2 linked regions of the Danio rerio genome follow. The protein of the gene in region 1 interacts with the protein of each later gene in a pairwise test. Links are inferred from orthologs where the notes say so. Each region holds a gene or a part of one and is shown on either strand. Other genes may lie near its edges.

Region 1 (3,500 bases):
GACTGTGTCTCATTTTCACCTTAACACTGAGTTGTTAGAAGCATTGACCTGTGTGCTTTATTGTACTGTCACTGATGATCTTCTGTAATGAATAATACATGACATCTGTTCAAATGTATGATCAGTCTCCAGCTGAACATGAATGTTTGTGGATTTGTTTTGCAGGCAATGGACTGAAAATGCTAATGAGAAGAGCACTTAAACTAAAGGACCCACTGCTAATGAAAATGATTAGGAACATCTCACAACACGATGGACCTCTGAAACAGCTGTTCATTGTAAGTACATTATTTCTGACAATTCTACAAAAAATACTTATTAGCATATTAATCATGTGATTACAATGACTTTTATCATTCACTTTTAAATGAAAAACTATTAATTCTGTGGAACACAAGAGATCGTGAATACAATTCAAATGTAAAATCAGGGCTGCGCAATATATAGTTTCAGCATCAATATTACATTTTGTACATTCTCAGTAGTCGCATCGCAGGATGTTCAACATTGAGTCTGGATTATAATTGATTAGCAACAAAGTTTAGAACATGTGAGATTTGTGGAGTTACTGCACAGTTTAACCATGAAAGAGTGAAAGTTTATCATTTGTTTTAAGGCCTGTGACTGTGAGAATTTCAGAAGTTTAAAGCATTTAGGCAAAACAAATTGTAACATTTGTAACTTTAAGGAAGGTTTTATACAATGAAGACCATGTTATTTCACATTTGATTATTCAATTTCTTTAACTAAATACTGTGTACTCCCCCAGAAAACAATAAAGCACTATTTATTACACAATTATTTTTGTATCTACTTGTAACACATGGTGAAACTGTATTCACATTGCAATATATATCGCAGAAAAACAAAATTTTACAAAGTATTACAATGCCAAAAATGTTTTCAATGTTGTGCAGCGCTATTTAAAATATTTACAAAATATGTTATATGTATATTGACAGCAAAAAAAAAATTGTAATTTACTGTTTTAATGATGATTTGGTGTTGTGTACTCTTCAGGACTATGTGGGTGATCTGGCAGCTCAGATCAAGAAAGAGGGGGATGAGGAGTTTGTTATTGAGTGTTTGGGCACAATGGCAAACCTCACCATACCTGACCTGGACTGGGAGCTTCTACTGAAAGAATACAACCTGGTGCCCTTCCTTAAAGACCACCTCAAACCAGGTACAGTTAACATGAGCCTTATGTGTTTGATGTAAAAGACAGCACAGATACAATTGTTAAGGTTATTAGGGAAATCTGCTCTTTATGAAAGGTTCAACTCTGTTTCAAGGGACAAATGGTGCTCAATAATAGGTGTAGCTTCTCCTGCTGCATCTCACACAAAAGCAGCAGTGACAGACAAAAAGAAAGCAGTTCTCCCTTACTTAATATTTGTTGTGGAGTTAATTCAAGCCTTTCTGGAATAATGAGTCACACACATTGTCCTTACAAAATATGCACACACACATACACACGTTTAGCTGTGCACTGTTTTTGCACGGCAAATGTGACATGATACACGTTAGTATCCACTGGACGCCCATTATGCTAATGTACAAAATAAACATTAGATAGAATCGTCTTCTTTTATAATTGTACTGACACTATGTGGCTGCGGTAATGAATTATGTAGCGATTTTACTGTCTATTACAAACTGATGATCACAGAGAGCTGAACAGATCTTTTAATCCTGGTTGCTTTTTGCACATGCTGTGCTGTCTTGATATGATTACAGGCGTTACTGTAGAGACATGTTCATATGTGGCTGTTTATCAATTCAGCGGGTGTTGAAAAACGCACTCCTATGTTACATTGTGGTGGGCCTCTAAATGGGAGAGATTTGGATTCTATTTTAACGTCAGGAAATTAAAAAAAGACCTATTGCGTTGATATTACCACAATATGACTGTTGACTTACTATACCTACACACAGCTCTGTCCAAACAGCTAACAAAAGATGATTTTCATCATAGGTGCCCTTTAAATTTAACAGCATTCAGAATCAATATTCAGTGTAGAAAAAAGTGGAGCTAAAATGGAAGTGTGTGTGTATTTATATTTATATATATGTATATATATATATATATATATATATATATATATATATATATATATATATATATAATATAGTGACTCTAAATGTAATAAATATAGTGAATGTCTCTATAAAACAACATTTAGCCTAAGTAAACTTGAGTAAACTGAGTCTAGTTGTCTGTAAAAAATGATATAGAGATCATTTTTAATTTTAATTTTTTTTTAAAGTGTGACTTTCTGAAGCATGTGAAAGGACATTTCTTGTTTAAGCAGTACAACGCATCTTTTTTCATCATGTCACACAGTATTTGACCTTTGTTCTCTGTGTGTTTCAGGCTCAGCAGAGGATGATATGATCCTGGAGGTGGTTATCATGATCGGTACGGTTTCAATGGACGACTCCTGTGCCGTCATGCTGGCGAAATCCGGAATCATTCCTGCTCTTATTGAACTACTCAACGGTAAGAGCTCTGCCAGCCTTTACATACATTTATTATCACAGAGCCAGTGCTCAAAGAAAACAAAACTGATCTCCAAATCTTTTTCATTATCGCTAGCCGTAAAAACAAATTCCAGAGGAAAAGATCAACAGTGTTTGGATTTCAGCTTTTGTTTGACCCTCCTGCTTTGCGTGTCTGTAGCCTCTCAAGTACCAGATTTCAATTTGGCGTGCTTTGTCTTGCCTAATGGGATCTGATGAATAGTTTATTTAGACTAAACTAATATTAAATTAAAATGAATTAGAATAAATAAACAGGCCTTAGTCATATTGTGTGCTGGGAAGTGACAGTGTCTTCAGGAACAGGAAAGCGCCGGGCTCATGGCATGCATCACATTTGCTGGATCTGCTCAATATGAGCGCTCATTTCAATAAATGCCTGATGGCAGGGCTCGTCCTTGCCATGGAAAGAAGTAATGTTTTAGAGGCTTGGGAGGTGGTGAGCTAAAGGCCAAATAATGTTTTTTTTTTTTTTTTACTGTTAGTGGACTCTGAAGTGGACTTCATTTGATTATTTGACATTTTAAGTGAGAGTCATTTCTGAAGGGAGCAAACAAATTAAGTGCATCCCAAATTCCATGCTTATGCTTGGTTCAACACCATTTTGTAATATATATAGTATAAGTAGTGTATTCACACTGACAATTCTATAAATAGTATGTGCCATTTTAATTCTTGGATGATATATTTATTCAACCAATAAAATTAAGTGTTAATAGTTGAACAGTCAATGGTCACAGCTTTGATAACAGAGCAGAAGTGGAGGAGCTATCAGGTGCTGAGATTGGATTACTTTATTTTGGATTGTGCAAGCAACATGATCTAACAGAGATTACACCGCCTCCCCTACCAATGTTAAATGCAGTTGAATTGAGGTATTATTTATTAGTTTGGTGATTTATTTCACTAATTTAGCAACTGTTAAATGCTGTCTTGGAAATTGCTTGAATTTGTGGTTA
Region 2 (4,034 bases), on another chromosome or scaffold:
CAAAATTTAATCTAGAAGTTTGGTGTTACGGTCACGTCATGTGCAATTATACTTGCAAAATAAATAAAATTATGTTTTACTGTGCTTCAAAGTGAAGTTGGAGTAATAAAGGAGTCTATTTAACAATTTGAACGACGTAACATTTTTAATTTAATAAGTTAAAATAATAGTGTTAGGTTATTTAAAAAAGGGTCAATTCAGTTTCAAATAGTATTGTTTGTTAGTAATGTACATTATTATACAAGTTCACTTAGCATACATAAAGTACACTTAAAATACTTGATCTTTAAGTACAATTTATTTGCACCTTATTGGCACACTTTTGAATTCATTCATTCATTTTCTTTTCAGCATAGTCCCTTTATTCATCAGGGGTTGCCACAGCAAAATGAACCGCCAACTTATCCAGCATATATTTTATGCATTGGATGCCCTTCCAGCCACAACCCAACACTAGGAAACGCCCATATAGGACAGCCAATTTATTCATTCATTCATTCCTCTACCTTTCGGCTTAATCTGAGGTCGCCACAGCAGAATGAACGGCCAACTTATCCAGCATATGTTTTACACAGTTTGTTCCTTTCTCTCTGCAACCCAGTACTGGCAATCATCTATACACACTCATTCACACACATACACCATACCCAATTCACCTGTACAACATGTCTTTGGACTGTGGGGGAAACCGGACCACCCGGAGGAAACCCACCTGAACATGGGGAGAACATGCAAACTCCACACAGAAATGCCTACTGACCCAGCCAAGGCTTAAACCCTCAACTTTCTTTCTGTGAGGCGATCGTGCTACCCACTGCGCCACTGTGATGCCACCTTTGAATTCATACAAGCAAAATCATTCTGAAGTCTATTCTTATTGTTTTTTTAAAACAGAAATTGTTCAACCTTGACCTCCTGTTTCTCAGTGCTATAAATATGAGAAAAGGCCATGCTCTATTATGTGAAATTAAGGTGTCAAGAGGTCAAGCTGCATGATCTGTTACAAACATCTGATTTCCCACAAAGGGTTTAAATTTAGGCAGAAGTCTAAAATCAGTTAATCATGGCTTTAAAATCGAAGATATAACAGGGACAATAACTCCACAAATGTGGACTTACTCAACTGGCAAATGCAAATCCAGAAGCAAGTGAAGCTGATCACTTCCTCTCTCAGAGCAGAGGCTGGGGGTTGTTCTCTTTCAGACTGCCTCTGCTCAGTTCACAACAGAGACGAGCAGCATTCATGTGTTCACTGCTCACCGTGTTTTGAGGGAGCATGTCCTTCGTAAGCACCCTTCGCCAGTGGGATGAGGCCGTGGCTTGTGTGGAGCAAAGAGACCCAGACGCTGCTCTCAGGATATTCCTCAGTATCGAGGAGAAAAACTCCAAGATCGCTTTCAACATCGGCTGTCTTTGTCTGAACAACAGTGACTTAGATGAAGCTGAAAAGGTACTCTTGTATGGCTGAATCAATGTTTTATACTACTTGATGTTTGAATTGTATTTTGAAAGTCTAAAATATTTGTGGCTGTAAAAAGGAAGTAAAAGTAGTTTTATTCTTTATGGGAAATGTATTTCTGTTTCACACCTGCAGGCTTTTGATGGAAGCATTGGCAAAGATGAACACCTGGCCGTGGCCTTTTTTCAGAGAGGAGTTACATTTTATAAAAAGGAAAAGTAAGATCATTACCTCTTGTCATGACACTTTAAAGGACAGTTCACCCAAATGTTTCTATTAAACACAAAGGAAGATAAACTGAAGACAGTTGAAAAAAAATCAGCCATTGACTTCCATACTATTTTACTATGGATATGCCTATCGGTTTCTTCAGAACATCTTTTTTTGTGTACAACAGAAGTTTGGAATCACTTGAGCGTGAGTAAATGACGAGAATTTAAATTTAAATTTGGTGAACCATCCTATTAAGTAAACGTTTTATGCTGTTCTGATGGCTCAAGGTACTTAAAAGAGTGGTCTAGAGTGTATTTTTAAGGCTTGGATGTGTTTATAAGAAGCAAAGCAATGTGTGATCATGCTTGATTTGTAGAAAATCACATTATTTTTCATATATCTTAATTATACGCTAATACTCAGCTAACATGAAAATGCCCGCCCTCAAGAGGCTCTGATTGGTCAGCTAACATAATGTGCATAATTTGCAAACCAGGAAAAGCATCACGCCTTTAATACTGCACGCTGTGTCTCTGCTTTGTAAATACTGTCGGTCAGAGCCAAATCAGTTTGAGCCTGAATCAAACAGAAAATGAAGAGGACACAGCAGAACCTTACGCCTGCTCTCTAAAATAAAATCTAACAAGTGTCTTTCACATATATTCAGAATAAGCATGTGTGTAATTAATATGAAACATTTGCATATTTTTTGCAAGTTTGTTATTTCAGATGTAGAACACAGGGAAAGCGTCCACATGGAGTTACACTGTAGCGCTGCAAAAGATTGTGACTGTTTACAGAGATTTGATGGAGAAATATGAATTTGTAGCTAAATTGTTAGCGGTTTACATCCTCACTACAACATAATGTTAACGCTTAAAACTGTGCATGTAATAGATCAGTTTTCTCAAATAAAAACACTTACAGGTTGTGGCTCTCAAACCACAGCTTCTTTGATTATGGTTGGAGCTGCTGGTTGGTTTTTAGCCGAACCAGCACTGAACTGGGAGAGATTCAGGAAGTTCTCCTTTGTCAAATGCTAGAGCTATATATTTTCATAATTTTCTGGAATTCCTTGTGCCGTGTCCTTTGGAAGCTTAAATACAGTAACAGAAGATGCTCTGTGAAAATTGCAGTTATTGGATGGCATTTTATCTCTTTTTGCTGTAACATACAGCGCCTCTGGCCACGCCCATTCGCTCTGCAGGGTAAATGCATGTAACCTGAAGCATTTGTGATCTCACTAACCTGGATTTTATTTTTATTTTTTGTAGTCCTCAAATTTTGTTCAATGTCGGCTTTGCTAAGCTAACTCTGTAAAAGCCAATGTCTCTCTTTGCATTGAGCGTATTACAGTCAGAGATGTTGTTTATGTTCACACAGCTACATTACACATCAATTAAAGTTTAAAATGTGATATAGTAGTGGACCGCCGCTTTAAGAGCCGATCACAAAATATCTCATTCCACTTTTAATAAACTGATGATCCTAACCTTCTCTCCAGGTTTGAAGAGTCTCTTCTGGATTTCCAACAAGCATTTAAGCAGTTACGAGGGAATCAACTAATTGATTACACACCTCTGGGGCTGAGATATAAACTTTATGCTTGTGAGGCAAGTCCAGATATTTTTTCAACTTTACTGACTTATTAATAGTTGTGATGTGAGTGACATTTTACACGTCTCCATTTCTGACTTGATGGTTTTTCACAAGAGTTTTCTCCTATATTGCAACATCTGACATTAACAGTCACCTCAGTTCATTCTCTAAAGCAGTCTTTTTGTCTTGTGTAATATTAAGGTGCTGCACAACATTGGACTGGCACAGGCGCAGTTGGGAAAATGGGAAAAAGCTCAAGAGAACCTTCTCACTGCTCTGAGCTTGAGAGCAGATGCCAAGTTCAGCCATATTGATCATGCGCTGGATGCCATTCTGGTCTGTATCTGCTTAACTTTCATTATCATAAACATGATTATCAGTTGCTAGGACTCATAAATTAAATTCCTGTTTTAATTTACAAGTTGGCCCTGAAAGTCATTGAATTATATGTTGACCTAATACTCTGTGGTTCATCTCAAACGTTTTGGTTGTTATATGAGGCAACGAAAGCTTGTTCTTTCGTAACTTGTCTAAAAAGTGGTTATGTTTGGTTTGTTTCACAATCAGAGGTTCTGGTTAGATTTTGAGGGAAGTTGTGTAAGTTTCAGAAAGGTCAAAATTCACGAGACAGATGATTTATACTCCGATATCCTTACATAAGTCATCCTTCTAGTAAAATGAACATCATTCTTTGTACGCATTTTACAGACAAAGTAAATTGTGAAAGTATGAGTCAAGGAAACACCAGAAAACACAGTAAAAG

What was found. The genes of interacting proteins can lie anywhere in the genome.
Region 2: the proteins of kifap3b (region 1) and ncf2 interact in binary tests that used the Homo sapiens proteins (3 or more experiments, as listed by UniProt). The two-hybrid records come from large-scale screens. The link is inferred for Danio rerio from reciprocal best matches to the Homo sapiens genes KIFAP3 and NCF2.

What each region holds. Positions count from the first base shown.
Region 1 is NC_133177.1:26,583,510-26,587,009, forward strand, and holds part of kifap3b (kinesin-associated protein 3b), read left to right. Parts: intron 1-165; coding exon 166-278; intron 279-1,020; coding exon 1,021-1,186; intron 1,187-2,377; coding exon 2,378-2,503; intron 2,504-3,500. UniProt on the Homo sapiens protein: Involved in tethering the chromosomes to the spindle pole and in chromosome movement. Binds to the tail domain of the KIF3A/KIF3B heterodimer to form a heterotrimeric KIF3 complex and may regulate the membrane binding of this complex.
Region 2 is NC_133182.1:41,684,690-41,688,723, reverse strand, and holds the start of ncf2 (neutrophil cytosol factor 2), read left to right. Parts: upstream 1-1,234; 5' UTR 1,235-1,276; coding exon 1,277-1,450; intron 1,451-1,594; coding exon 1,595-1,677; intron 1,678-3,176; coding exon 3,177-3,285; intron 3,286-3,472; coding exon 3,473-3,607; intron 3,608-4,034. UniProt on the Homo sapiens protein: Subunit of the phagocyte NADPH oxidase complex that mediates the transfer of electrons from cytosolic NADPH to O2 to produce the superoxide anion (O2(-)).